Linked DNA regions of Medicago truncatula. The protein of the gene in region 2 interacts with the protein of the main gene of each other region in a pairwise test. Links are inferred from orthologs where the notes say so. Each region holds a gene or a part of one and is shown on either strand. Other genes may lie near its edges.

The links.
Region 1: the proteins of transcription factor DICHOTOMA (region 2) and basic leucine zipper 43 interact in binary tests that used the Arabidopsis thaliana proteins (3 or more experiments, as listed by UniProt). The link is inferred for Medicago truncatula from reciprocal best matches to the Arabidopsis thaliana genes BRC1 and bZIP43.

The regions. Positions count from the first base shown.
Region 1 is NC_053048.1:5,994,689-6,010,952, reverse strand, and holds basic leucine zipper 43, read right to left. Parts: upstream 6,025-16,264; 5' UTR 5,907-6,024; coding exon 5,331-5,906; 3' UTR 5,135-5,330; downstream 1-5,134. UniProt on the Arabidopsis thaliana protein: Probable transcription factor involved in somatic embryogenesis. Acts as a positive regulator of BHLH109.
Region 2 is NC_053045.1:54,380,087-54,396,644, forward strand, and holds transcription factor DICHOTOMA, read right to left. Parts: upstream 11,083-16,558; 5' UTR 11,048-11,082; coding exon 9,947-11,047; intron 9,851-9,946; coding exon 9,785-9,850; 3' UTR 9,446-9,784; downstream 1-9,445. UniProt on the Arabidopsis thaliana protein: Transcription factor that prevents axillary bud outgrowth and delays early axillary bud development. Indirectly required for the auxin-induced control of apical dominance.

The DNA.
Region 1 (16,264 bases), on a different chromosome or scaffold from region 2:
AAATTCAAACAAAAATGATGTTACTGCGCAGATAGAGTATAAACTAACAAATCAGAACAGTATTTCCACTAAAACAAACTCATCCAAGTACAAATTAAGGTTTTCATTTGTACTGGTTTAACAAACTCAATGGAAACGAATGAGTTCTGTTTTGACTCTTTAAGGCACATATATTCATTTCACATTGTTCTTGTTGAACCGACACTGATCAGGTTACGGTCTTAGCAGTGAGAACAAAGATAACTCAAGGTAAATTTCCGAGGATAATTGTTAAAGTTTTAGACAATTTTCAAGTATCCTACACACAAATACAAAACAAGAGCATATTTTCCTAAATTTTCACATATCAAGCAAATGACCTCGACAAAAACTCAAAATATTCAAAAGTACAATAGTATAATATTAGAAAAACAATCCGAATTATCATTAAGTCACCTAAATTACAGTAAGACAGCCAAGTTTCACAAGATCTTACACTCCCTTTTTGTAAATACAGTGTTAGTGTAAATACATTTTACACATACATCTAATCGCATTTCACCAAATAGCCAATTCATCACAACCAATCATGGGTGTGAATTTAGAAGTAAGTAAAATAAATAACAAATACTTCTAATGATATGACAGTTGTGATTGATTGACAGTGTAAAAGCAAGATCGTTCAATTGGTATACCCTGTTAGTGTAAATAAGTTTTACACATATAACAGGTAAGAGTTTAATTTCCATGCACTATCAGTGTAAAAAACTCTACACTATCACCTCATCACAACCAATCATATATGACTTAGAACTAGAAGTCTAAAAGCAATATAGTTAGAATCAGATGTGTTGAGATGCATGTGTAAAACTTTAGTACACCGAAATTAAATCCATATAAAAATTACACAGAACAATTTATTCAAAGAATACAAATCAGAGTAAAAATTAAGAGTTTAATTCAAATCCAGATCAGAAATCACTAAGAAGATCAAAAATCACAGTAATAAATAACTAATCAAATGAAGTTGATATGAAAGTGGATCCAAAATCGAAAAAGAAAGGAAAATGAAAAGACAGACCTGAAAATTGAAGAGATTAGGTGAAAAATGAGGACAGTGAGTGAATGAAATTGAGAAAAGTGGGTGTATATATAAATTATAGAGTGTGAATAAAAAAAGTGAGAAAGTTTACCAATTTGTAATATTAAATTTGGAGTTGAAATGAAACTTGAAATTCAATGGTCGACTCGACGATGGCTATCAAGACCACCAACCACCAATCTTTTCAGACAAAGAAAAATGAATCCATTTTGGTATCTATTAATATTCTCTGATTCTGTCATAAAATAATTAATTTAAATGTAACAAAACACTTGACAAAAAAAAAATGTAACAAAACAAATTAATTTAAATAATAATAATAATAATAACTTTTAATTTTGGATTTATATGTCCTGTGAGCATAGCTCAGTTGGTGGATAATGCATTATTATATACAGGGGCTGGGTTCGAACCTCGGACATCCCACTTATTTATCTTATAAGTTGAATTTTAGTCATTACGCTACCTAACAAAAAAAAATTTGATTTAGTTAAAAAAAATCTTATAATAAGAACGTAATATTTTTTGTACCAAAAGAAGAAGAAGAAAAAAAAAAAAAAAAAAAGAACCGTATTATTGTTGTTGTAGACGTATCTGTTGGAGGCTTGTTGCATGTGAGGTCAAAATTTTCCAACTTCCGTGAGTGGGTTAGGTGGAACAACTCCGATGAATCATAGCCGTTGATTCTACAATCGATATCTTAACTTCGTTGAATCTTGGGTCAAAGTCAGGCCCAATATATTTCAGAGGAGTTAGCTATTGTTTTTTATTTACGGTAGTTAATTGTCATTGTTGCAATGGTAGTTATCTACCGGTTCTATAGAGAAAACACATTTCAAGCATTTAATGCATTTGTACATAACACAAGCAAAAGGATATAAAAAAAAAAAGATGAGATGGTTCTTCTGATCAAAATTGGACAAGATTATTCAATTCATGCATGACGACAACAAAAACATACATTGAACATGATTCAACAACTTAAAACATATAATAAAATACAATATAATAAATCACGGATCAATCAAACTAACTTCTTCATATGTTTCATCTTTGCAAGCTCTGATTTCTTCGTAGGTCATGGTCTGAATCAAACTTTCATGAATATCTTTGAAAGATATGACCAACGAAGAGTTAAACTCAATCGATCCTTTAGAAATATACTGACCAAATACTGAGAACGTTATTCTCATGTGATCGTCATTTTTTAGCTTCATTTGGGCAAACTAGGTGATTCCCTTGAAGTGGTCAATGAATCGAAATATTCAACACTTTTCACCCTCTGTGTGCGTTTGTGGTTGAGTCGGGGATTGATTTGATCCAACTAATCCTTCAACCTAGATAGCGTGACATCAATTCGGACCCTAAGCAGATTAGGTTTTCCCCTAGTGTGATTAACTTGGTGTTCATATCTTCTGGATATGTGTGCATGGTCTTTGTTGTGTTTTACAACAAATGAACCAAACACACCAATTTATAGAAGTTTTTGAGCGCCTGGACTATATAAATTGTATGTGCAACCTGGTTCAAATAAAAAAAAACTTTGCAACGATAGTTAACTACCACTCCTGGGTACGATAGTAAAAATCCTCATAGCATATTAGATCACTTAAGGAATTATAAATCTCTAGCCATTGAAGAGAGCTCTCAGTCAAGGAATTGATCATAGATAACATTGTTAATCATTGTAGAACTAGAAGAACATTGTTAAGGATGAGTGCAGTTTACCAAACAGTGATAACAAGAGGATTCGACAGAGTTGATCTGATTTTTCATATTATTTTCACAACACTTTTACAAGCTTTATTATTATTTTATGCCAATCAACCAAGTGCCTAGAGCAACCTCCCAACTTTACACATCTTAATTCATACCAAATATTGCTATATTGAAGTTAACGCAGTCCTCGTGGATACGAACATTTTATTACTTCAATAGTTTTTAGTACATTTGCTAAAAGTTTATCACTAAATATGGAGAAGTGATTTGAAAAAACTCAAGTCTCATATCGGATATATATATATATATATATATATATATATATATATATATATATATATATATATAACTCTTCATCAGTTACACCCAATTTCAAGAGGGTAAAAAAATTTCTTTTGCGTATGGGTAGTGAAAGTCTAAAATTATGCAACATGTGAATTGTTTTCTAGAATAAATTAAGAAAAAAAATTGTGTCCTAATAATACAAAATAATTGTCAAATTTGATTATATTTTTCACCTTTTTAAAGTGAAAATGAATTCCCTAAAAACATAAGTGAGTGAAAATCAAGAAATGGAGGCAATATATATGCAATTGACTTTTTTATGAGAATCGTATAATTAACAGAATCCAAAGGCTGTAAGTAATGTTCACACTTTCTTTACCATGTGAAACTGAAGAAGGATGAGTTATTCATGTTGACTTTCATTAGGGACATTGTCCTATAGTTTCTTTGGTTTTGTACTTTTTTCGTTTGACTTTTGTATGTATTTCAAAAACAGATATTCAAAGGAGCAATTATGCTTGTGCAATAGATGTAGATGAAGAAATAAAAGAGAAGGAACATGCATTACTAATCAATTAAAAAAGATAAATATTTATAATATTTTAAGTGGTTTATACTAAGGTAAATTGTTTAATCAAATCAATTGTTTTATTGGGAAGTAATAGGCATGCATATAGTGAGATAGAGCATGCCATTTGAACAATGAAAGGTGTGGTACAGAATATTGCTTTCCTTCTTTTGGTAAAGAATTTTCTGTATATATTATAGTGAACTAAAACACTCGTTTGTCCATTTTTTCTCGATAAAAATAATCAAAGTTACAAAATTTTATGTAATTATTAAAAAAAAATTAATGACACTAAAAAATAAAATAAAAATAAAACAATTATTTGATTTGATGAAAAAAATAAAATTATAAATAAACTATTTTAAATGAAGAGTAAAATTGGAGAAAAAAATAGGTACATCAAAACATCTTTATATAATTATATAAATCTAGCCGGTCCAAAGGACCCTATAGAACAAATATTTGTGAAAGTTCGAAGAGTTTTATTGTAACCTAAACACCGTGGTGGAGATTAATTTCATAGTAGGTCTATAGGTCCGAAGTTATGCATACTCTATAGAACTATTTAGATGTCAAAGATCTTAATTACGATGGTTCCAATAAAAAAAAATCTTTTTTATAAGGCTTAATTACACTTTTGGTCCTTGCATTTTGACTAACTCACGAAATTGATCTGCCTCTTTTAAATCGAACAAAACCGTCCATAAACTATATGTTTTTTTTGCAATTTTAGTCTTATCTCCCTATTTCCAACTCCATAAACGCACATAAATGACAGTTTTAGTCCAATCACCTATGCTTAACCATGAAATAAACAAGGAATAAATCATGTGGGTACAAGGAATCTACTTTGTTCAGCACACAAACCAAGAAAAATCCAAATTTCTAAGACATGTTTCAGGTATGTAACATGTCTCGGAAATTAGGTTTGTGTGCTGAATAAAGTAGATTCCTTGTACCCACACATTTTATTCTTTGTTTATTTCATGGTTGAGCATAGGTGGTTGGACTAAAACTGTCATTTCTGTGCGTTTCTGGAGTTGGAAATAGGGAGATAGGACTAAAACTGCAAAAAACATATAGTTTAGGAACGATTTTGTTCGATTTAAAAAAGATATGACCATTTTCGTGAGTTGGTCAAAATGATAGGACCAAAAGTGTAATTAAAAAAAGGTATACATAATCTACTTTTTCTCCTTATCTATTCTGATTTCTTTAGTTATTGGGATTCAATAGAGTCGCGAATCAAGTCTTTTTTAATTGTTCTCTGGATGGAAATCATGATAGTGTTTTAAAATATTCAGAGTGTGACCAACAATTAATTAACCAGAAGGTTTATGAATTATTTATTTGGATTTCTATCCTTAGCCATTTTAAATGTTATTGTTTAGAAGAAATCATTAGAACTTTAAAAACTACACCATTTATAGACAAATAGGAAATTGCATAGTTTTTTTTTTTTGGGTACAAAGAGGAAGTAGTAAAGTTAATGAGCATAAACTTAAAATAAAGATACTCAAATTAAACAAAACATGTTATTGCCTTTCATGGTTTCACCTCATAGAACTCAAAAAAACAGAAGAACTAAAAGATGAAAAATTGAAGAGTTATTAAAACTTGCTCTTGTGACTCTTATCTTCAAATTTACCCTAACAAATCAACAGAACTTGTGATTTATTAGTTTGAAGAATCAGATTTAACATTTGGTGAAGTGATGCTAGGAACATCTTCAAGAGGACTCAAAGGAAGACAAGAACTATGTAACTGCATATCACACACCATTTGTCGAAGTTCCGAAGCTTGTTCTTTCAATTGAACATTCTCTTGGACAACTTTATCATGAGTCTCACAGAAATTGTTGAGCTTATCTAGTAATTGATGATTTTCATTCCTTAGCCAAACAACTTGTGACCAAAGCTCATCAAGCTGTTTTTGTTTCCTCATTCGCGACCGGCGTGCTGACTCTCGGTTCGATACCATTCTTCGATGTTTTCTTTCGTTGATTAGACCTAGGTTTTGTTCGTCCGCTTCGTCGGAAGTTGAGTTGCTGCTTATGCATGAGGATGGAGGACTGAAGTCTTGGAGAATTTGAATAGGGTTTTGGTTGAAACCATAGAATTGGTTGGAGAGTTTTGGATGTTGAGGTGTTTGGATGGTGTTTTGGATCATGTTATAGTTACATGGTGGATAGGGAGATGGATCTGAATATGGGAGTAAATAATTGAGTCCTGTATTAATCTCTTTGGTTTGCATGGTGGAATAATGAATATAAGATTGTGAGGATTTGAAGCAAAAATTGTTGGAGTATGGAATTTAATTTGATTTGGAGATGGATGGAAAATGAGTGGGACTAGTTAGTATATATAGGGAGGGAAAATGGTGAAATGGCCCTATGGAAAGTAACAAGATGTCAATGTAGAGTAGATCATTGCACTCATGTCATCTTTCTATATATGCAATTAATATTATGTTAGATCTATGTAGCACTTACACATGGAAGATGTATTTAGTATCTGTCACATGTGATTACATTTAATTACTTTTATTTTCATAAGTTATTGTTGATGTTTGTGTATGTGTCTACTATTCATGTTTGTGTAAGTGTAGAATTACTTTGTTTGTGAGCGTCTCTGTGTCCCATGAATTTAGACTCTTCTGACAATCTTAATATGTCATTAATGACATTTATTTAGTGGATCATAATCATCTTCATTTTTCGAAAGAAATAGAGAACTCTATTTGAAGAAGAAAAAAAAACACAAATGAATTGAAGAATAAAATTTTTTTTTTTTTTTGAAGGATAATTGAAGAATAAAAATTGTTTAATATATTATCTATATTTTGTGTCTTTTAAATGAATCCATCCAAACTATCATTTTGGTATTTTAAAAATGATGGATTACTTTATTTTGGCTTAAAAGAGATAGCTTTTAAGCTCAAAACTCTTTTGATCATTTTTAATAAAGTTTTTGAAAAGCTAAATAGGCTAATCCAATCAAGCAAATTAAACATAGCTTCTTTATTCATGTACATGTATAATAACATCCATTATGTGGGATCAGGTTTTGCTGCTTTAAAAACAACACGCAGTTTTACATAATTTTTTATCTCAGCCGTTCATCTTAGATAGAACGGTTGAGATTGAAAACTGTGTATTTTTAATTAAAACGATTTCTACCATCCAACTGTGATCGGACGACTATCACTAATTACAACACCATGCTATAACAACACGGAATCCTATTCCCATTATGTGGGGCCTTAGGTTCATTGAACAAGCTAGATGGATGAATAAGATGTTACACATACATATAGATAAACACATCCACAACACAAGTGACACAAACGTGTGGGGGAGGCAACTTGGTTTAATGGATAATCATTTTTGGACAAAAAATATGCTTACATCAGATAAACTTATACAAAAGTAGTTCATATAATGGGGAGTATAATAATTCAATTGGAAGACTGTTTAGGCTAAAGTAGGTGCAGGAGAAAAAATGGTGTTCAATTGAAGTCAATTTATTTTATATGAACGTGCGTAGTGTGTTATTTCTAAGATGATTCTCTTTTAGATAATGGACCTGTTTACTTAAATGACATAAGCTAATTGGATGAAAAAGAATATTGAAGAAGGCATGATATCAGCTATGTTTCTAATTATAAATATATTTTGGTAAAAACATTTTTGCTTAGGCATTTTAGTAAAAATAAAATGCGTCCCTCAAATTATTAGATATATTTATTATTATTTTTTAAATATACTCCTTATTATTGTTAATATGATACGGTTAATTTGTATTGGAAGATGAAAAATCATAATTGGATGCATTTATAAACCCTACTACTTTTCTTTATCTATTTGAAAATTACCAATATTATATTAGTCTAGGTGGAACTAGACTCAAATCTTTTAAGTAAGGTCTTGAATTCGAGTTGTGTGAATGAAAAAATGTGGTTGGGAGAGAGACTTTGCTAAAGAAGGTTAGTCAGATTTTTCAACTGAAGTTATTCGATATTTCGCAACAATAACATAGTTATAAAAAAATTCATGTGAAAATTAAAAAAGGAACTTATGAAAAGTCAACAACGCTGAAACTATTTAAGAAAAATTTAGCGCTCTATTGTGATCTGATCCAACTTGAACGATTAATCTCTGCAATTATATGCGAGGATATACCTAATGTACACTAAAGTGGGGATGGAAGTAGTAGTTTCAAAGAGCAAGAAAGAGTGAAAAGTTTATGAATTTGGTGACTCAAAAACCACTCAAGTATATAGATGCAGGGACCTCCAAAAACAATATATAAAATATGGAACTAGAAGCCAAATCTTGATTTGATCAGCAGCCACTTATGTTAATTTTTAAATATGGTTAGGTAGTAATCATTTATTTTAGTAATGACAGTTTCAACAGTAATCTCAAGGTAAAAAAAATAGGTAAATCATTAGTTAGTTACTTCCACGCCTATATTATGTGAAACAGATGGGTGTATGCTGTGTTCATTGTACACAGCTGTTAAAAAGTAAAAATAGTTGTGTACGTACTTGCCCAAAACTAGCTTGGTGACTTATACGTGTATAGTGTAAGCCATTCAAAAAAAGTTATATGATCACTATTTGCATTAACCTCTAAAATAGAAACTTGCATAAGCAACTTTTATATGTTATGAAACACAATCACCTCAAGCATGTGATGACAGGCACGAGTCGAAGTTCAACACTCGTATGATATGTGTCAGAAATTTCAGACTGATGTTCTAAAATATTTGTTTTATTTTGCTTTAACACTCTTTAGATCGGTGTTCAAACCCGTATGATATGTCTCGCTCAAACTAAGTCAAGTATCCAAAAGAAAATAAAAATACCCATTGCTTCAACACATCTAATACCGTCTTTGAACACATCTCAAACACATCTAGAAGAGTTAAAGATGTGTTGAAGCTATGTTTGATCAAATAGAGGTTAAATATATTAAGTGAGATTACAACCTTATTAATTTTTTCGATAACAGATGGATAAATAAATGTTATATATTATTATATTTTGTTTTTTAATAAAATAAATTGCTCAATTTACATGCAGTTGTACATAATTTGATCTCAATTTAGATATTCTATAAACAATATTAATATTTTATTTAATTATAATAAATTAATTAATATATGTGTAGCGGTGTCGGTGTTCTAAGTTTTTTACATTAACAGTGTTGATGTGTCAGTGTCCGTGTTTAATAAGTTATATGTGTGTGATCTATTTAACTAGTGTTACTTATTAGATGCAGAAAGTAAAAACAATTAATAATAAGATATAGTATGAAACTTTAGAAGAGAGTTTTTGCTATGTTTCTATGTTCAGTCATAGGTGCTAGGTATGTCACACTTTTTAGTCCTAGGTGCTAAGTATGAGAATTTTTCAACCGAAGGCACATGCCCCTCTAACGTGGGATGGCATGCCTCGCGCGCTACTTCAATGTTTGCACTCTCGGGGGGCGCAACAACACCCCCAAGGGGCACGAGTAGCCTTAGGCAACGCATTTTTGCCGTTTTCTTTGATCTTTCTGTGTGTTTTCTTCCTTGAAACTTGTCTCGTAACTTGGAATATAATTTCTTCTCTTTGCAATGTCTTTCGAGACCTCTTGAATCATCATCCATTATCTTCCCAAACCCTCTTGAGATGCTTTGCTTTGCCGATTTGTATGATTTTACATTGAATTACATCAAAACACCTAAGAACTGCTTGGTTTGGGAACGCTTTAAGGTCTTGCAGGGTTGTAACATGACTTAGGTTAAGGTGGGATATTTTTTTGAGAGTCGGCTAATCAAACAACTTTGAGTTAGATTTTCAACCTACGGATTCCTACTAAATATTGAAGTATTACCAATCTTCCTTCCTTAAACCGAAATTGTTGAACCATAATGAGTTTTATAAATGCCTCATAAGTTTTGATGATTACAAAGTATAAAAGAACAATTGGATATGCTAATGTGTGTTCAAATGTGTAGGACATTAAAATTAAATTCTAACTCTTAAGTCAAGTTTAGGTTCTGAAACATCAAGGATTTGAACACATAAGATAGAATTTGAACCAAATAGAGAAGCTACTATGACTTGAAACAAGATCTAAAGAAAGGTCAACTAGAAAGTCAACATCTTGTTCATAAGAGAATTTTCATTCAAAATCATTTGAAGGAAAGAAGACTCTGATTGATCAGGGATTTGAGAATCAAGGAATTTGAAGAATTAGGATCAATGGTTATTAGAACGTAAAGACAATACAAGTTGGAGAAATTTCATCTTACGTTTCAAGCCATTTGAAGACGGGAAGAACGCTTGAAAAAGGACGAAAAACTACATAATTCCCCCCTTATCGTCGTTAAACATATGAATAAAAAACCTAATCTTCCTTGATATTGAACTGATTGATCAGGCAACCAAGACTTGGAAAGCTCATCTTCTGGCTTTCCTGTTTGATCTGCATACCACTCAATATACCCCTTTTACCACAAGTTACAACTAACACCTTGGTATGGAAAGGAGAAAAGAATGGCAAGTATTTTGTATGCAGCGCTTACCGAATTTGTGCTTAAAACATTGGAGACACTTCTCACCTTCAAAGGCCGGGACATTGGAATTTTATTTGGAATATCAAATCTCCGTTAAAGGTGAAAAATCTGATTTTAACGGTATGTTATGATTGTTTCCCTACTTATGCACGCCTTATCAGTAGAGGAGTTGCTTGCCCCATTGATTGTGTTATCAGTAACGAGGGTATTGAAGATACCATACATGCTCTCTTTACTTGTCTCTAGTATGTTCAGGAATGGCATACAACAAACTTACGAGTTGATACTAAACAAATTTTGAGCGAACATGATAATACAAAGGCGATTGTGCTTAAATTACTACATCACCTTCACCCGTCACAAATGTTCTCTCTTTGAAACTGTTTTTTGTAGCTTAAGGAAATGTCAGAATTTAAAAAGTATGGTAACACATTGATGAAACAACATCAGAAGTTGTTGAGTGTGGTACACATATGTTATAAGACTGGAAGCTTGCACAAGAACGAACAAGGAATGCAACAACAACTGATGCCGCTTTTGCACCAGGTAAACTTAGATGTAATTATGATGCATCTTTCTCTCCCTCTTATAATAAAGTTGGCATTGGTATGTATATTCGTGATGCTGAAGGTTGTTTTGTTCTTGCGAACACCACTTGGTTCTCCCCTCTATGTTCAGTGGAAATAGGTGAAGCATTGGGGTTGTTTAATACTTGACAGTGGTTAGCTAATTTGGGCTTTGACAATATGGATTTTTCATTGGATTCAAAGGTTGTGGTCGATGCTATTAATAATAACCATAGTTATAACAATGGGCTCGACGTCATTATTTAACAACGTATACAATTGTTAGGTTTGTCATTTAACAACTCTTTGGTTGAGTTTAACCGAAGGCAAGCAATTGAGGTCGCTTATGAGTTAGGACAGACAACCCATTAAAAACTAACTCTCAATCTCTCAATTGTTTATTGATGTACCACCTTATATCTCTCACTATTTATCTAATGGAATGATTTGAGTTTCTTCCCCTAAAAAAGAATTGTCATGTAATCTATCAAATACTTGGTCACTCAATTGGTTTCAAAGTATAAAATAGAGTGATAGTACAAAGATAACCGGATAGATTTAGAATAATTTAGCTACTATTATGGTTCAAAGAAAAAGTTTAGGTACCGTTATTCTAGTTCATGGGGTCCAGTAAGAGATAAATAAAATTTTACTCATAAGATAATGATACATGTCTGCCTATCTTAATTTTTTTTTACAAAAAGTAAATGATATTTATGTTGGAACAAAATGTGTTTTACAATGAACCTTATTGAGTTTTGATGATAACAAGGTATTAAAAGTTGTCAATTGGTTATTACTAATAATTGTTCAAGTGTACAGGACCAAAGGCTACTCAAGTTATTTCAATAGGTCTTGGAAGAACAATTGAAAGAAAAAGAAATTCTGAGCATCTGAAGAAAACTGCTCTTGAAGCTGAAGTGCTTCTGAAGTGATGACGTCATCAGAAGCAGAAGGTCATCAGAAGCAAAGGTTTTCATCAGAAGCAATATCTTCACAAGAAGCTACGTTTGATCCTTTAAACAAACTGAAGATTCAAAGTAGCTGATTCTCAATTCAGTCTTATCCAAGAAGAACGAAGAATTGAAAGGGAGGTATCAACGGATATATGGATAGCACTGAGCACTTGTCTCTCGTTAATAGAGTTGACAAAGTACAAGTGTACAACCACTATCTCCACTACTCTGTTTTCTATCTACGCTACAAGACAAGACAACAGCCATGCCTGCAGAAGTTGTACGTTCAAGATGGGAATGAATTTGAAGCTTATTCTTCAAAGGACTACACCCAAATCAGGCAAAGGATTACTGGTGGATGATCAAAGGATTTCAAACGACTCTTTAGACGTGCTGATTATCTCAACGTCTCTTTCACACCTCTATATAAAGGAGTGAAGACTTGAAGATATGAGATAGAGATATACAAGTTCAAAAGCACCAAAACTCTGTCAAATTGATTCTACAAAGCACACTGAATTTCTGCACTGATTTGATACATCTTAGAAATTCAAAGTCTAGAGTCTTTATTGTATTGTATTGTGAACACCACTGATTGTATATCAAGTGTTCAAGTCAAACTCAATTCTCTGTATTTTTGTTTGATCAGAAGTCTCTTGCCTGCGTGCTTGAGCATTAGAAGTCTCTTGCTTAGTGCTTGAGCATTGGAAGACTCTTGCGTGTGTGCTTGAGCATTTTTGTGAAGTCTCATACTTAGAAAGTATTGAGCAGTTGTAATCTTTGTGATTATAGTGAAATCTCCTTGGAAGTGCAAGGGGGACTGGACTACTTCCGTGTTGTGGAAGGAACCAGGATAACTGCTTGTGTCTTTGTCTTTCTTTTCTCTGTTCTTTTCCGCTGCAATCTGACTCTGATCATTTCATCAGAAGCACTCAAACTGCTTCTGAAGTTTTATCAGAAGAAGTATTTTTTAAGAGAAAAAGAAAACATAATTCAACCCCCCCCCCCCCTTCTTGTGTTTTTTCACCTTCAATTGGTATCAGAGCTTGCTCTGTTATCACAGCACTTAACCATGTTACAGTTCAAGATCTATTAGAAAAACATGTCTGGAGATGAGGAATCAGTTACTACAAAATACACAAGTGTCAAGCATGACTATGATACTGCTGACAAGAAAACAGACTCTGGAAAAGCTCCAAAGTTTAATGGAGATCCAGAAGAGTTTTCATGGTGGAAAACAAATATGTACAGCTTTATCATGGGATTGGATGAAGAGCTATGGGACATACTGGAAGATGGAGTTGATGATATGGATTTAGATGAAGAAGGAGCTGCTATAGACAGAAGAATACATACTCCTGCTCAGAAGAAGCTTTATAAGAAACACCACAAGATAAGAGGAATCATTGTGGCTTCTATACCTCGCACCGAATACATGAAGATGAGTGACAAATCTACTGCGAAGGCTATGTTTGCTTCTCTATGTGCAAACTTTGAAGGCAGCAAGAAGGTGAAAGAGGCTAAAGCTTTGATGCTAGTTCATCAGTATGAACTTTTCAGAATGAAGGATGATGAGAGTATAGAAGAAATGTACTCAAGATTTCAAACTTTAGTTTCTGGATTGCAAATACTGAAGAAAAGCTATGTTGCTTCTGATCATGTTAGTAAGATTTTGAGAAGCTTGCCTTCAAGATGGAGACCCAAAGTAACTGCTATTGAGGAAGCTAAGGATCTAAATACTTTAAGTATTGAAGATCTTGTTAGCTCACTCAAAGTGCATGAAATGAGTTTAAATGAGCATGAAACCTCTAAGAAGAGTAAATCCATTGCTTTACCATCTAAAGGAAAGACTTCAAAATCTTCCAAAGCCTACAAAGCCAGTGAATCTGAAGAAGAATCACCTGATGGAGATTCTGATGAAGATCAATCTGTAAAGATGGCTATGCTGTCCAACAAGCTTGAGTATCTGGCAAGGAAGCAGAAGAAATTTTTGAGCAAGAGAGGTAGCTACAAGAACTCCAAGAAAGAAGATCAGAAGGGATGCTTCAATTGTAAGAAGCCTGGTTGTTATCATGGTTTTTGGGTGCCAAGCCATTAATTGGACTTGTACCTTTCGACCGTTGATATCTCTCTTTTTTCTTGGGAAGGGTAAAAGGAGAAAAACCCTTGAGTTTCCGAATTCGGGGGTCGGTTTTACTACGGGAAGGTGTTAGGCACCCGGAGTAACTATAGTCCTCTATAGGAGCCGTTTTCCTAAGTCTATATTCACGCTTATTTTTACTTACTTTTGAAAATGGGAGGTTTATTTAGTTAAGAATGGGGGGAGAGAAGTTGTAAGACTTTTTATCTTTTAGTTGATTTGAAGAAAATTTTAATGTGTTGCTATTTGATTTTTAAAGTTTGAAAATGATTTTTTGAAGAAGAGAAAGGAGGCCTTAAAGGCTTGAGAAGTAAAAATGTGAAGTTTGCCCAATTTTACTTAATAAAATAGTCTAAGTCACTTAAGGTTTATTTAGAATTTTCTTAAGAAAGTAAAAGGAAACATCAAAGGAGTGTTGACTCCAAAGTTCAATTTAAAAAAAAGCTAGAATTATGGAACTTGGTTTGCTTTACGAAAAAAAATATTTTCTAAGTACTCGCGTTCCCTAATCATACATCTAAACGAATGTCATACACCGTGTGTGAGTGTCGGTGCTCGTGTCGGTGTACATCAATAGAGTCCATAGTCCCTTTTACATTGTCCTAGATACATTCTATAGTCTTTGCATGAAATATAAAAAATAACACCTACCTAAATATTACAATTCCAAATAAAAGTAAAAAAATGAATGCAAAGAAACTAAACTATGTAAAAGAATGGAAATGGAATGCTAAACGATATGTATGAAGTACCAAAGTAAACTTGTTAGTAAAAAAAAAAATAACAAGTACTAAGAAATAAAAGCATGCAAGATGGCACAAAAAGTTAACAAAATGACATTAAACCCTAAAAACTTAGGTATGAAACCTAAAGCATTCTTGGCCTCTAATTCTCATGCTTTAACAAATTTTGAAAGAGTTTTCTTTATCTCAAGTTATAGCATGGAATTATTGGAAACATGCAAGCATGGTTTCATGCCATATTCTCTAGAATAAACTTGGCATTTTATATCTTTCAAAATATGCATATATTGTTCATAAAATTAAGAACTTATGAACCAAATCAAAACAGCAAATCAACATGAAATTATAGGCACAAATCTCTCATATTAACACATCAAGTAGCTTTTATTACATATTCTCACATCAAGGACAAATGTGTGAAGAAGAATCCATAACAAATAATTCAAAGAGAATTAAAATGCTATGAATTAATTATACCAAAATTTCATAGATCCTTAATGTGCAAAAATGTCATAAAAACACTAAGAAAATATCAAGAAACATGTATGAATTTTTCTAGGAATTTTACCACAATTTTAATCAAGACATAGGTGCAGGTAGCAAAAAATAGGGGTGTGAACAGCAAGAAAAAAGCAAGAAATGTGCAGAACATTAAGCCCAAACCCAAAGCCCAACACCAAAACTCAGATTGCACAGGAACCACACGATTGATCCAGGGTCCTGAAACCCTAGATCAAACGGCCAGGAACCAAGGGGGGTTGGACCGGTCCTGAACCGGTCCGGTTCACTGGCTTTATAAGGGGGGGAAACCGGTTTTTTTTTATAATTCTTCTTCTCCTTCTCTCTCTTCTCTCATTCTAGTGAGAGAAGCTCTCACTTCTCTCTTCCTCACCGCGCCGGATTCTGGAAAAACAGGAGATGATCTTCATCTTCTCCGGCGGAGTTTGTTCCTCCGGCGTGGTGGCCGGCCACCCAAGGGTGGCGGCGCCGCCGCCGGAGTTGAGCAAACTCCTCCGATTTTGAAAATTTTTACATTTTTAGATATCCTTTTTCGTGCTATTCATGAATCCAAACTTAGTTTTTTGAGAAAAAGTCCCAATCGGAGTAGATCTAACTTCAAAGATTCGGAAATTTGAATTTTAAAGAGGAAGAAAGAGGAAGAGGAATTGTTACCTATTTGTGGTGTGTTGTAGAGCAAGGGAGAGAGCTTTGCTTTCTTCCGAATCCGGAATATTCCTTCCTTCCTTCTCTTCTCTTTCACGTGGCTCTTTGACCGAATTTGTGCTTGTTGTTTGGTGATGTTCTTGGCGCGGATTTGTGGATTTTTGTGATTCTTGGTACGGATTTGGTTCGGATTCGGTTTTGTGGCTTTGTTGATTTTTCTTCTTCCCCTCTCTCTGTGATCGTGCTTGAATTCGCCGCTTCCGGTGGCGGATTCGCACTTGAATTGTGGAGCAGAGGCGATTCGATGATGAAGATTCGCAAAGAATCTCTGAGAATCACCAAAAAAAGGGATGAATTTGATGAATCTGTGATGATTTTCGGTTAGGGTTTATGTGTGTGTTCTTGATGATTTTCTGTTTTGATTTGTAACTGAATAGAGAGAGAAGAAAAAATCTGTTTGTGATGTGTCACCCCCC
Region 2 (16,558 bases):
AAAAAAATACATGAGGTCAACCACATGACAAATGAAGCGGCACATCAACCTTGTTACGATTCAACAACGCCTAAAACTGGTTTTGTAAAAAAATGAGAAATGATATTTATTCAACAATTTTTTGACAACTCTATCTCATAATCACATTATGTTCTTACTATCCCTCTATCTTTTTCTCTCTATATTAGTTTTTACCAATAAAAATGAGAAGATGAAAGTTGTCATAAAAATTATCATTTTATTGTCAAAAATTTATACTAGCGTGAGTTAACTCACGCAGGTGCATTATAGTAATTTCAATCGAAAATGAGTATTTTTGGTTGGGTAAAGAGCAGAATTCTCACAACAAATGCTATGCTAAACCATTTTATTCATATGCTCATTTGATTATTTGAGTTTTCACCTTTTTCGTCGAGATTGAACCATTTCTTTTCAACACGATCTTTCTAAGGCTAACAAATGTGTGGAATGATTTGCATGATAATGACCATTTTCTTACGCAAAATTTACTTCTGATGTTTAATGAAATTGAACTAGTGCTGTTTTGAAACCCAAAAAATTAAGGATATTACTTTTTTCACCCTATTGCATTCTCACGAGCTTATTTTTTTTTTCTTCAAAAATATTATTTGTCTGGATTTTAGAATCTAAAATCAGTTTGGATTTAAAATCTGGAAAGTTCTTAAATTGTTGGAACCTAGAGCATCTTGGAGATGTTTGTGTAATTTCTATAAAACTATATTTCAGAATGTATAATCTGAAACCCTTTTAGTCATTTTAGATTATAAAATCTGAAAAGTGTCAAACATCCCATAAAAGCCTAACTTTGGAGTAAAAAATGGTACATTTTGAATTATATAATCCGAACTGTCTTAGCACAAAGACATAAACATTGTTTTTTGGCTGAGACATGTATATGGTAAGAAATTGCTTCCAAATAATATAAACATACATTCATGATCGTATAAAACAAATTCTTCAATAAAAACGATAAAAAACAATATTATTTTCAATCATGAAATTTAAAACTGAAATTATTCAAAGAATACAAACCAAATCTTCGAACACAAAATGTAAAACATCAAACATGAGTCAAAATATTGCAACACCATAAAACTAAGCTCTGTCACCCCCACCTCTACTACCACGCCTACAACGATAAACCCGCCCTCCAAATGGCTCCATTCATCAGTCGCTTGCGCCACCACACCACTGGCCATGATGGAATAGACATGGTTTCTGATACGACAACCTTCCAGTCATGTCAAGGTACCCATGCTCTCCCTCCTTCTTAGCAGCAATCTCATGAAGGGCCTCCTGCTCGAGTGGCCTCGGGACATAAACAGCCTCATCCTGAAGTATGATGCGTGGATGTGAGATGGAATAAAACCATATGATGTATCCTTGTCAAGTCTCAATACCAGTTATAACAACAATCCCCAAGTCATGATCTGTCAGCATATGATTAAGATGGTGTGCATAACAGTAGTTGATCACCAATAAGGTCGTCTGGGAGATGCACTATCACATGAATATTTGGGGACGGTCTGGACAAACCCAATCTGGTGAAGCACCCACTCCGAAAAATATCTCACTCTACGAGTACCGTATCTGAGCCATCCATAGTAAAGGTTGACCTGCTCGAACAGACATGTCTGACAGTGTTCAACATACGGGGACATGATAACACCCGTCAGATCCAACTGATCCATATGCTCTTTGTATTTGTCTGGTAAAGCCAGACCCCTCGACAGTAAATACATCAAGGCACGTGGATGTTGCATAGGGATGTCTACATTATAAACTACATACATCATATTAAATGAATCTAAAATATAATTTTTTTTGCTTATATTCGGATCAGAGTGTAGGTTTGAATCTAAATTTCATTGAGCAATTTCGCATCCCAAGTGCAATTTTGACCAGAATATATACGAAGCTCCAAACAACATGTGTACTTGCAGTGAGTACAGTATCTAGAATTAAAGTTTAGAACTGTTTAGGTCATGCCTTCAGAAGGTTCTCAAAGGAGGTATTTATAGGCTATTATGGGCTAATATTCGCGTGACTTAAACCTTAAGCAATGAGAGCTTTTCAATCTTTTAGCCGAACTCTAGAGACTTCTAGAAGTTGGCTGAGGCGACGCCCTCTGAAGGGTGCGCCTTCAATCACGAGGCCCTTTTGGAGGGCTCTTAAACCTATAGAAAGGCTTCTGGCAGGGCCGTCCTTGAGAATTCGGAGGCTCGGCTCTAGGAATGAAAAGAGGTCAGTGATAAAATCAAAACGTTTTATTTTTATTTTTAAAAGAGCGATGTTCTATTTATATTTTTTAAAAGATAAATACAAAGTGCCGTATATATGCGGTACACCAAGAGATGAAAATGACTACCGTATACATGAGGAACCTCCACCTAACACCAAAATCAATTATGAGGAACCCCCACTCTTGAGACCCATCTTTGAGGGAGGCCCAACTCGTTTGAGCTGTTTGCACCCCCTCAGGGACGCCCCTAGCTTCTGGATCCTTCTGGAGAGTTTCTAAACCTTAGGAGTGCTGTAACGGTTAAGCATGCTTTCCTAAAGATCCAAGCACATGTTATAATGGTTGGGGTTCAAAACAATAATAGTCTATCCTTTAATTAACCTTTTAGGAATTGTCATCAAAAGTCAAAAAAATTAAAGTATATCTAATCATTATATAACCTTTTAAAAAAATTAATCATTAGATAATTGTGTCACAAGCGTGATCAAAGTAATAACTTTTTTTTTTTTTTTTTAGGGAAAATACTAACCATTTTTTTTGCCCAATTTCCATTTTCTTTTAATTCTGTAACTTTATGTTTATTTTTTCTTTCCATATACACAGTGCCGCATTATCACTTCCTAGTTACTATCCTTTAATTCCACAAATGCATAATTGGTGTTTTTTCTCACTATGTAATGATTGGAGATAAGCCAACTATATCAATCTTAAAATTCAAAACTTGTAAGTAATGACCACCCCTTTAAAATTGGCGTATTTCCACCTTAAGTTAAAATCTTAATATGTTTAGAATGTTAACTCATCAGTTTTGGCAAAACCGAATCAAACTGTAATCTTAACCTAACTGAAGTGATTGAGTTGGTTAATTTATTGATCGGAAACAAAATCGAACCAAATATTTGGTTTGAGCAACATGTTTTAAGATTTTTTCCCGGTCACTCACATATCCAATCCGTCACATGTTTTATTTTATTTTTGTTAATATTTTACGTATTATACATCTACATGTATAAAGTCAAACCAAATTAAAAACATGTTAAGCTAAGTTTTTCCTCTCAACAAATAAAAATGTTAAGCTAGGTTTTTTTGTCATTCTCAAAGTTACAAATAGAGATAGAGAAATGACAACATACTTATAAGTATTTTATTTTGGAAGTTCTAATATTTTGATTTTGTGTCATACTACAATAGGCGTGTGAGACTTGGTTCCACGCTTATTTTTCTTAAGTTAGTTTTAGATATTATATTATATTTTACAAAGTTCTCAATGTTATAATATTTTGGTTTGATTTGGGTTTTATACCAAAAACATGTAAATTCAACTAAAGTCAATATGTAAACTTTGAATCGGTTTGGGCGTCGAATTCACTCGAAATTAAACCAAACCGACCCGTGAACACCCTTCCGAAAACATATTATCATAATTAATATAGTTATTATTTTGCCTCTTCAAAATAATAAGACCGTATCTTACGTACTCTAACCCTCTATACATTCTTCCATGTAAGCATAACACCATGTTACAGAAAATATTGGCTACTACCATCACACAACATCACTCCATATATTACAATTTACAAACCAAACTTTACTAGAGAATTGAGATGTAAAAGATAAATAACTAGATAGATTTTTGTTGATGGAATGACTATATAGAAAAGAATATGCAGAGGCATCACTAATACTATAGAGGATGTGATGTTTGGCCAGCTAAAAGGAACTTAAGATGAATTAAATGAATCATTCCTAAGATAAAATTGGCGATGATGAAAATTTAGATTAATTCCTACAAGTGCACTCCAAAGGGAGAGATACAAATATTTTTATCTCTCCTTTTAGAGTGTACTTGTAGGAATTAATTCAGATTTTACACACATCATTCGAGTCTCGGACCATATATGATAGTAAGTTAAATTTAGAGATGATATTGATAGTAAATGATCAAAGTATAAGGATGTAATTGATATTTCAATAGAGTTGATGATCTTTTTGAAACATTCATAATCTCAAAGACTTATCTGAGAGTGTCTTACAAAGTTTGAGACTAACTTTTTTTTTGGACAAAAGTCAGAGACTAACTTAATGATTTACTTATTAGAGAATACTCAATGACTAAAATCCACTAGCATAGCCAACTACACTCCCAACCACGTATGTATGGAGTATATATTGTTTGTTCCTATCCGTGTCATGATATATTATTATATGGGAAAAACTAACGAGTTTCTTAAGGATACTCTTTAAGAGTCTTAAATAGTAAGTTAATAATCTTGTAACTTTAGAACTTGTATATTGAATGCATTAGAAATCAAGTGTTTAAATTTTTGGTAAATTCTTTTTTAATTGAGAATGCTTGAAGAGTGCCATAAAGACACTCGTTAGCAAGACCTTTATTGTAATTATGTTTTAGGTTTTTTTCCATGTTTCCTTGAGCTGAGTCAACAGTATTGGGATCTAGTGAACAAGAACAAGAAACAAAAGTGAGAGACAGAGCGAGTACTGAGGTGAAATTAAGCTGCAGAAAGAGTTAGGGGGAAAGAAAAACACATTGTCCTGGTTTGCAATTATTTACTTTACTTGCCCTAATAATAACAACCATCTTTTTACCCAAAAAGAGAGAGACGACATTTGATGTTCTATTTCAGACCAATCATCTTTTATTTCATTGGTGTTTTCCATTTGTGCTAGCTATATACGCGTCAATCACTACTGTCCAGTTTAGGGTTTCTTAGCCCTACCTAGGGCTATTCATAATCATAAAACAACCTTCTCTTCTGCTTAACCCTATCTGCATATTTTTGGATTTGCTATATTCTCTATCTGATTTCTGGATCCGGGTATATTTTATCCTGTTTTTTTGTTTTGTCATGTTTTCAATTCTTTCCTTTTCATGATTTTTTCCACCAATAACAATGATTGTGGTATCCTATGAGAAAAGCCAAAAAGGGTTTTTGGTCAAAGGGGTTGTAAGCTCGAAATGGTGATTTTGTTTGGTTGATATTAAGAGATATTCTTCTTCTCCTTTCTCATAACTCTTGATGAAAGGATTTGAGTTTGGTTACTAATTTTCCAGAAATGGAAGCATTTTCAGCTTTTGTTGTGTCTTTTAGGGCATCCTACAAGATTTTATGTTTTTTTGACAATATAAATATAAAGAAGTTGGTTTCATTAGTTTGTGTCATTTATGGATTTGTTTCCAAATTAAGGATGTTTCCAACTGTTTAGATCTGAGATCTGGTTTTCATTTTCTTCATATGGGTGATTTTCTAGGTTTTGTTTTAATGACAGATGTTGACAGTTGTTAGGAATATATGTGGAGGAGTAGAACCCACAAATATTTATCTCTCCAAAAACAACAAACCACACTTTCACTCTAATGGCTTTTGATATACGGGGATGGTTGGTTTCTGGTTGTTCATGGTTTTAGGGTATCTGTGTGTTGCTGTTTCCATTTTAGGGATTTGTTTCTAGGATCCATGGATTGGATGAAATGAGAAGACAGGCATGAAATTACAATTCTGATTGCAAAGGCAGAGGTCCAATATTTTTGTTGTATGCAAAAACAGCAGCAGATAATCTTTTCAATTTTGTGACAGTATGAAACAAACTTGTTGATATTGGAGGGATTTAAAGAATTAATTTTTCTTCATTCTTCCTATAATAACACTCAACAAACCCATCAGGTTGCCTAACCTATCGGAATGTAATTTCCGATAGACAATTTTTAATTTAAATTTAAAAGCGTATCGGAAACTAGATTGCGATTTTTGTTTTCGTGAAATTTTGAGCAATTAGGTGGTGCTTTTTAGCAACGTTCTTTTGTCTTTAAGGTATTGGACATATGTTGCACTTGGATATATGTCTTTGTGTTTGGTGACTTTGGTGTCCGTCCCAAGAGCCAAACAACTCAAACTAAGGTTTCAATTCTCAAAATTTTGAGCCAACTAATTAATATTTGTTCATTTGAAAACAAAAAACTAAGTAGGATGCGTAAAAATGAAGAGTGAGTCTCTAATATAAAACCTTTCGAAATAATCACTACATTTTTTAACACTGTAATAAAGGTGTTTATTTATATTGGGTCTGCATTGCAAAACTTAAAACCTTAGCTTGGTCGTTGTGGATGTTCTTAGGCATACCACTCCAACATATTATGGGCTTCTGGCTGGTGTTGTAGTCTATTATCTTGATTTATAGGATGTCTAAAGTTCTATTGTGTAAAAGGTTGGAATATTTGTTGTATTGCAGTACCCCTTACAAGTCACAAATTACACAATGCTTAGATACGCGTTTAACCCTAGTTTCTTGCGTCCCAATGCATTTTGGTCGGGACATTGCCAAAGCTACAAATGTTAGCTTCTGAGTATTCGTGCGTTCGAATAACATCTCACCGTATAATCTAAAGTATCACAGTTAATAAACAAAAGTCATGAAAATAAATTATTATTATTTAACAGGAAATTTAGAAGAAAAAAATGAAAATTCCTGTTGTGAAATTGAAACTTTATAGATTCTTTCTTTGGTAGAAATAAGAAGACACAAATCAGCCACACCACACGAGAGGGAGTGGCAGTGCAGTTGATACTCTGAACAAATACAGTATAAAATTTGGTATCTTTCTTTGCTGCTAAATACAAACCAGCCATATAAAGGACTCCTAGCTATTCTATTCTATATGCTATGCTATGCAATCTTATCTTTTCCTTTGTTGACTCCTGACTTTTGACCGCGTGCAGTGCAGTGCATGAAATTAAATGAAATGAAATATCCTATATATTTCATAAGGAATTTGTTCATATAATTATATAAAACCATGCTAAATGGAGAATGTCAACATTTTGTTATTACCAAAACCTATAAATGGACAATTCATTCATTTAGTCGTTATATATATATATATATATATATTGAGAGGAACTAATTATGGAAAATGAAAGCAATTATACTTGTTAAGTGCGGCTGTATATATTCATGAATTGACTCATTCACGGTACATTCATTGTATGTAACTAGCTATGATTACATCTGACATATGGACTCCAAGTCTCCACCCAACCACGTATACAACCCTGCATAAAGAATTAAGGGCATTTTTGTTTTGTTTTTACATTTGTTGTATGATAAAGTTATTATAATTGCATCTCTTGTTGAATTTAGGCTATGGTTTTATATGATGCACAAGTGAAGTATGTGTTATATCTTGTACAAGTTTGTTTTCACACTTAGATCAATAAGTCCTACCAATAAATCAACTGAAATACAATGAGATTTATTGATTGAATAATGAGGGGAAAAAAAAATTATACATAGTGCAATACTATTTTATTTGTACACCATAGATTCAACATTGAATTTGATATATATTATTTTGTTTTATATTTAAAATTTATTCTTACTATAAAGACTTTCAAAATATATACTAGGGAGGACACATTTTTGATAAAGTATTTTGTTGGAGTGCAGGCTGAATAGTCTCCTTATCCCTCTACTGCTTAATTAACAACTCAATATTATAGCTCCATAAAAGATATTGATAGAGTTTAATATTTCATTACAATCCTACAATAGAGTCAAATTATGTAGTCCATAATTTATTTTTTTTGTCAAGCATAATTTGTTTATGTTAAAGGGTCCAGATCCTTTGCAGCAGTTACAAAACTTCTGGATGTAACTGTAAGTGCAAGTTGATCCATTATTCTTACGTTCATCATTGAAAAGAACTTTATAAGAAGAAATTCTAGCTAGAACCACGCATGTACGATTTAAGAAATTAAACATCAGACAACTGGAAAATAAATAGATAAAAAAGGCTATTTGTAAAATGACATATGTTGAACGAAAAAAGACACAATATACGTACCAAATAGTTTGTCTTTGTTGAGTATTTCATTGCTGTCTTGGAAAAAAAAAATCTCATTAGACCCTATCGTGTTGCTGGCTTGGAAGACACGTTTACAGCATTCCAACATATATTGGACATAATTGTCCCTTACAAGCACTGGATATAAATTTCTTATGTTGTTGATGGGTACATATGATAAAGATATCATCATATTCGACTTACAAGTGATTTGTTTTTTTTTTTAAGGAATCATACAAGTGAAATTGAACACCACATTTTAATCCAAAATAATAAAGTATTGGATATATTTATCATCTTACTTGCATGTTGTGTAACTTTCAACTAATCATAAACTCCTATGTGTACAAATATTTAATATTGATGCGGTGATTGAAGCTCGTATGAAGATCTAGTTTTTTTAAACGACAAATATTAATAGCTAATTGTTAGAAATGTTTGTAAGGGAATTTCTTTATTCAACTCATATATGTTACTTCCCTAAACCATTACCTCCCCTCTAATATATACCTATATTTTTTTTTGAGCAAGAATGACAATAATTTGTATATATTGTAGTTGTCTAGTTTGTATAGACAAGTTCTGCTAGGTGATATATGCACCACTCTTCCACTTCATCACCCTAACCTTCAAGGAATTAATATGCAGGTAATTAATCTATTCTAATTTTAAACTTATGTGTAAACAACTTATAACAAAAACTACAACTAGCTACTACTATATTTTGCCAATAAAAAAACCAAATTTCATCATGCATCCAATTATAAAATTAGTTTCTATATTCATCTAAGCCTAACAAACATATTGAGACCGCTAAGCGGATTACATGTGTCCAAATTAAGTAGATATATATCGGATGACCAAGTGTTAAATCGGTGACCTATAAATAGTTCACGTGTCGATTAGGTCGTAGGAACTTGATTTGAACAAAGTTTAAATCTCGTCTAGAATAGTTGTAAAATGATCATTAGTTACTGTCATCATGATTAATAGAAACTTCTCCTTTCTCAATTAAAACAAAAAACAAAAAAAGTGACCTCTATAAACATTGGCTAAATGCATAATATATATTATAGTTTTGGAAACAATTTTAAATACATCCTCATCTGACAAGTAACCCTAACCTTCTTCAAGGGACGGTTGGACTTTGAGAGAAGAAAAAACAACTACAGCATGTGGAAATATGTCAGGTAGGATCAGGAACACTGTTATGTAAATGGATATGACATCAATAGCAGCAGCATTAAATTGAACACACCTCAACTCCATTTCAAAACTAAAATGTAATGATATATAACTAATTACTGCATATATTCACCAGATAGGGAGAAAAATCAATCAGTTATTTTTCTTTATCATCAATTAAAAATACCCCTTACAAGAGACACATATATAAATTGTAAACTTGTACCAATTTCAAGGTCAGAACTCAGAACAGAAACAAACAAGAAAGTGGCAACACTTTAAATAGAGATGACATACACACACAACAATATTTATGAAATATTGTTTCCAAAATTCTGAAGATACCTCACCACATAACATTCCAAAAAGGAAAGCAAAGAAATAACACAGCAATGCATAATGCATTTTATTCTGAGCCTGACTGACACAAAAAGGAGGAGGTGATGATAAGGGGTGCAAGTACGGTAGCATGTTAATTAAATGCGGTTGTTGTATGCTTCCCAAGGTTTTTCCATGGATTGGTGAAATTGTTCAAATTGATGCTGCAAACAATTTCATGATTTATATATATCAGATTACAGATATATATTATACATGCTTCATATATATATATATATGCATGGCTAATTTGAACTTACTTGTTGAAGGTTATTGAGAGAATTGAACATCATAGGTGGACTCCATTTGCTCATAATGAACAAAGAATTATCTTCATCTGAATGTTGTTCCTTTGCTTTTTGAGAGCTTGTTTCTACTTCAGCCTCATCAATCAGCTTCACATGATCAAAGGAAGGATGAGTCACACCTTGAGTACTCTGATGTGTACCTGCAGATTCTTCCACACTTTCAAAGGGGTTCCAAATGAGGTTAGTTTTTATTCCTTCTTCATTGTATTGCTTTGAATTTGATTCATCAACTAGTGATGTTCTAGCCTTCCTTTTTTCTTTTGTCCTTTCTCTTGCCCTTTCTCTTGCTTTTTCTCTACCTATAGAATTGAATGCACTCTTTCTACAAACCTTGTTAGTACTATTTCTTCTCTTCATAACAAGTTTTTGTTGTTGTGGTTCTTCTTGATTTCCAACTTCATTATCCAAGCTTGAAACTCCTTCAGTACATTCAGAAGTTGAAGATGCACTCTTAGTAGGAAAATTAACATTTTTCTCTCTTGCAAGGAGTTTGATCTCAAGTTTGGATTGGTTGAGCAACCAGTCCACTGTTTTGCTTGCTTTTTCAAAGCCTAACATATCTTGAAGACCAAAAAACCTCTTTGCAACTTCAAGTGACAATCTCATTCTCCGATCTCTTAGTCCTTTCGCGGTTTTGATCTTGCTGTGTCGGTCTCTCTTGCTAGATCTTTTTCTTTGGATCTGCTGATCCACTACAGTTTTGCCTTTACCAGCAGCTGCAGGAAGAAGATTGTTGTTAGCTTTGATTGTTGAATTGGAAGGCCGCTGATGATGATCAGTACTGTTGTTATTCATGACAACAGGTGGATGATGAAGTTGGAAATCAACATCATGTTGTTGGAGGAAGATTTGATGGCTGTCTTGAAAGGGATCAATATCATCATCAGGATAATTAGGGAATTGAAAGAAAGAGAAAGGACTGGGAAGAGGAAAGGGGGAATGACTGTTTTCAATATCTTTTGATGAAGTTGAGTTGCTTTCAAATGAACAAAAAGGTGATTTAGAGGAAAATGCTAGGTTATTTCCATTGAGGGAACTATTTGAAGAATACATATCTGGAATATGTTGAGAATTGAGATTGAGATAGACAGTACTGCACCAACACCAAACAATATTATAAATATATCTTTATTTATATATAATAACAATAACTATAGCCCTAGCTAGCTAGTACATGTCTTGATGATGAAATATATATATATATATATATATAGACATAGCTATAGATTTTGGTTTGGCTTGTTAATTATCGAGACTTTCCAAAGCCTGAGAATGACATGTTAATTCCTCTTTAAGTAAGAGCAGCAGCTATTAATTCCATCCTTTTCAGTTCATTTTTGTGTATATTTTCTGCTCCCTGCAAATAAAGGAAGGCATAATTTGATGAGTAAGACAAGTACTATTAATTTTTTACTTCTATGACATTGCCAGTACCGTGTATATATATATATACACGGTATGTGTGAGAGAGTGATGCTATATATAAATTGTACAGTTGGCTTCTTCAAAAATGCAAAGTACTACACAGTATGAGAATGACAGCACATAGACAATAATAATAAAAATGAAAATAAAAATACCTTACGAGGAGAGTAGTATAATTAGCAAGGAAGGAGAGAAGAAAGAGGAGATAAATATAAATAATAAATATGAAATAAGGTAAAGAATCAAACAAGAGTGATTTAATGTTTATAGACAAGGATCATATGGTTTGCTTTTGAGCAAAAAGTTTATAACCTCTTTAGGGAAGATAAAATGAAAGAAAGTGAGTGGATAGAAAAAGTTATAGTTTGTGTGTGCCACTTCACGTGGTGGGCACAGCTTGAGAATTGACAGAAAACTAAAACCCTCTTCAATCACTTCCCTTACACACCCACACCTTTAGTTTCCTACTACTATATATGTATGTATACCAAGCTTATAACCATTGACCTTGTATAGAATAGAAGTATGGGGTGTGATGCTCCTTAACTGAGACACTTCATGAATATATGTATCTTAAATATTAGGGTTAATTAAGTTTTTAGTCCCTATAAATATTCACAATTTTGTTTTTAGTCCCTATAAAATTTTTCATCAACATTTTTAGTTCCTATAAAATTTTTCCATCAGCATGTTTAGTCCCTATAAAAAATTTTCATCAACATTTTTAGTCCCTAAAATGCTTAAAGAAAAATATCACAGGGACTAAAAAGTGTGATTTTATTTTGTAGGGACTAAAAATAAAACTGTGAATATTTATAGGGACTAAAAACTTAATGAACCCTAAATATTATAATTTTTGTTTTTAAGAAAAGTATATGGATATATATGGAGATGCTTTACGGATATGTGCAAACATGTACTTAAAAAAAATTGAAAAATATAAACAAAATGAGACAAGGTTGTAGAACGTTAGTGGAGATTTACATTATCTAATTTATAATATATTCTAACAAATTTATAAGAAAATAAGATAAAACAAACACACAGTTAAGCGCAATAAAAAAGTGAAAAGATGAACACGTTAGTATACGTCTTGACACGGGTACAAATAAAAAATACATATAGACGTATATATAAGTATATACTATAAAATTGAGTCAACGATCTTGAATCAAACATTATATATTTGAGGAAGTTTATGCCTCCCTATTTGTTCATGTTGAATTTGTTTCCCATCTATTTGTTGTCTTTGACATTACTATTTGGCATGCTATATATGTTTGGCTTGAAAAAGAGATGGTGATGTGGAATGAGCATTCTCCCCTTTAAAAAAATGTCCTCAAGTATATTTGATATGAGAAATGATATTTGATATTTGTGACAACTTTTGAACAATTTTCTCTCTATTACTTACATGATATTCTTATCCTATCTCTTTATTTTATTTTTTTCTCTCTTTCTCTCTCTCTCTATATATATTGTTTTTGATTAATAAAAAGAGAGAAAAATAAAGTTGTCACAAAAATTATCATCAAATGAGTGTACAAATATCATTACTCATTTGATATATAATAGAAAATATTGAAACATGTTGGAAACCAATTAGACTAAAGAAAAAGATGGGCGGACATCTATACAACCCTTATACATCTTTTATACACTATGAGTGATATAAATAGGGACATTTTGTGTGATTTGTCTATGATGTGGTAGAAAGAGAGATGTAAATAAATTGAGAAATGATATTTGAAAAACCATTTTTTTAAAACTTTTGTTACAATTTTCTCTATCATATATTATATTTTTACTTTCTCTCTCTCTCTCTATTGTGTTGTTTTTTGTGTCAATTCCTTATTTTCTTTATAAAATTTTAAGGCTTAATTGCACTTTTGAACCCCTATCTTTTCAAAAGTTGCGGTTATGGCCCCCTAACTAATTTAAATACAAAACAGCCCCCTATGTTTTGATTCATTGGCAGTTTTGGACCCCCGCTCCATTAGTGAGGTGCCATGTGTATTATTTAGGGGGCCACGTGACACCTCACTAATGGACTGGGGGTCCAAAACTGTCAAAAAATCAAAACATAGGGGGCTGTTTTGTATTTAAATTAGTTAGGGGGCCATAACCGCAACTTTTAGAAAGATAGGGGTCCAAAGATAGTGCAATTAAGCCAAATTTTAATTGTCTCAAAAGTTGTCATATAAATGGATGTTAAATAACACAATTCAAGTCCCCATGAGCTTACCTCATTTGGTAAGGGATAATGCACAATATGTGCAGCGGCCGGGGTTCGAACCCCGGACACCCCACTTATTCATCTTTAAGGTGAATTTCTCTAGTCACTAGACTACTTGACCAAAAAAAAAAAACACAATTAAAAAAATCGTTATTGAATAAGTATGAAAGAATAAGGGTTTACGGCTAATAGTATGGTACTATGGCAAAATTAGTACATATAGGGTGATATAACACTAATTTCTCATTGATGTAATCTTTAGGCACCTGACAATTATTCAGAGACACCTAAAAAAATACCTCGAATGATATTTAACTATGTTCTGCTAAATGGTAGTTAACTATCATTCAATATATTTTAAATCGGTTTAACCGAATTAAAAAGCGTTCAAACGATAATTAACTATATATCAGTGAGATGTTTAGATGTCTATGAGTAATTGTTAGATGTCTAAAGAGCAATCTGAATTTATCATATGAGCAAATTAAGGTATTTGTCCAAGATAATGACCTCCAATTCAAATAGTTTATTTTCTTATTATTCTCTGTCTTCTTTAATATTTATCATGCATTTTTCATTCATTCATTAATTGTTTGAAATTTAGAAAGAAAGAAAAAACCCACGTGTATGAGTGTATCTAGCTTGAAACCCTAAAAGGAGATAAGTGGTGGAGAGAGTAGAGAGTACAATTATTATTTCTATCCAACCAACCATCCATATATATGTATGCAGTATACTTGTAGCTAGCTAGCCAATATGCTCCCTTTGACTGGGGTTGCTCAGAACATCACTTTCACCAAAAAGAGATGCACCATCACTCTTTCTTTGTGGTGTATAGTATTGTAGATATATAGTAGATGTCCATGTATGATGTATCTATATCTATCCATCACATCTATTTGAGAATGTTGTAGTAGTTATTGGTTCCCTCTTCCCATGCGTGCTTATCTTCTTTAACTTGATAGATATTTATAGCTAGGTAACCACTTTTATATCTCTTTTTGTCTTAATTAATTTTTACGAGGTTTTAATAATTTTATATTCGACTCAGAGATTATTTTAGCTAAAATTTTAAACAAAATTCATTAACCAATTTTGTCTTATAACTTGATTTAACTCTTTCTTTATCAATGCCAAGATTGTTATTTTGTAAAGATAGAGATATATATGTATATATTATTGCTATTGTGCAATATATAGTGCACATGTGTGCTTGTACTTGCCACCGGCATCTATGTTCTAAACTCTAAAGCCCTATTGACCAATTGTAATCCAAAACACAGCATGATTTCCTCAACTTATTTTTCAAAATGGTAATAGTCCACATCCACACTTGAAAGCACTATACCTACATAGTACACTAACAAAAATTTGATGGTTTTTCTCTCTGTCTGTCTTTTCCATTTATGCATGCCGTTCTCCCCACTTATCTTCAACTTTCTTTTCTTTCAATAGCTTAGCAGCATACTTGTCTCAATCGCCACTACTTTAGAGTTTAGACTGTCATATAAGTTTAGGACCACATATATTGCAAAGAAATTAAGGGGTGGGGTTGCTTTCAACCAGAAGATAACTATGACACCATATTAAAGTGGCTAGTTTCCTTGTGATACAAATTCAACTCGGTGTCTCAAGGTTTACCAATCACATTAGGATGGTCACATTGAATATCTATATAAAACTCCCCAAAAAAGGATAATCTACAGCCAACTACAGGCCGTTAGATTAAAAGACTATATCTTAATGACTTAATCTAACGGTCTATGATTGGTTGTACTATAAAGTCAAAGGTAGAGTATTCTTGTCCAAAATTCTCTCTACAATATATATTCTCAAGTTCTATAATTTCATACCTTGATAATTTTTATTTCTTGTCTGCAACTTACAGAAAAGGAAAACAAGTTGTTGAAATTTCAATGTTCGTTAACTTATTTATAGTAAAACTTTGCTATTGAGAGATACATTGTGAGTTTTAGGGGGATGAACAGACATAAATCTGATCTTACATAACAATTTTAGTAAGTGTCACTAAGAGGGACTTTTCTAACATGGACCTTTACTTTAATTAAAAGATGAATTTTATACAAAAGACATGAGAACCGGTACCGGTACGGTACATATTCGTGTATGAAAATACGATAATTTTTTAAAAAATTAAGGTGTTGGTGCATCAATATAAACATGGTTTTGTTGTTATAATATTTTTTTTGGTGAGTTTTGTTATATAAATAATATAACGGAAAAGAGCAAAATTCTTCGATTCACAACAAAAATATCATAATAAAATATATAAAATAAAAAATAAATTAGGGTTAGTTTTTTTTTGACAGAAAATTAGGGTTAGATACAACAACAAAGAAGCTCATATGCACAAATAATATTACATTGTAATAATAATATATTATAGTAATATATATAAGAGAAAACCACAACTTTCATTCACAAAAGAATAATAAACAAAAATACAGTCCTATGTACGTGTACCGGTGATACAAACGCATCATTGTAGGAGTGTTTCACTGTTTTTTTTACTAGTATTCATGCTTTAGAGATGTCCACCTTTAGACAATTTTTTAGAAGTTTATATTAAATGTGTTCGAGTAAGAGTCGCATATTAGATGAAAAAGTTGACGTTGAATATATAAATAAGATGAGTCGAATGCATAATGCCTTAGAGCATTGATATTTTATAATATTTCAAAAGTTAAAAGTAATCTTTAGTTTTTTTTTTACATAATTTTTAGCTTAATACTTGTTAAAATGTGAATTTATATTATTTTAACCTTAAAGGTCAATTGATTGATTGTATTTCAATTTTATATCTTACGACAGATACTATTTAAAATAATATTTTTTTATTTTTTTTTTACAAAAATGATATTGGTTTATATGATTTCCATCAG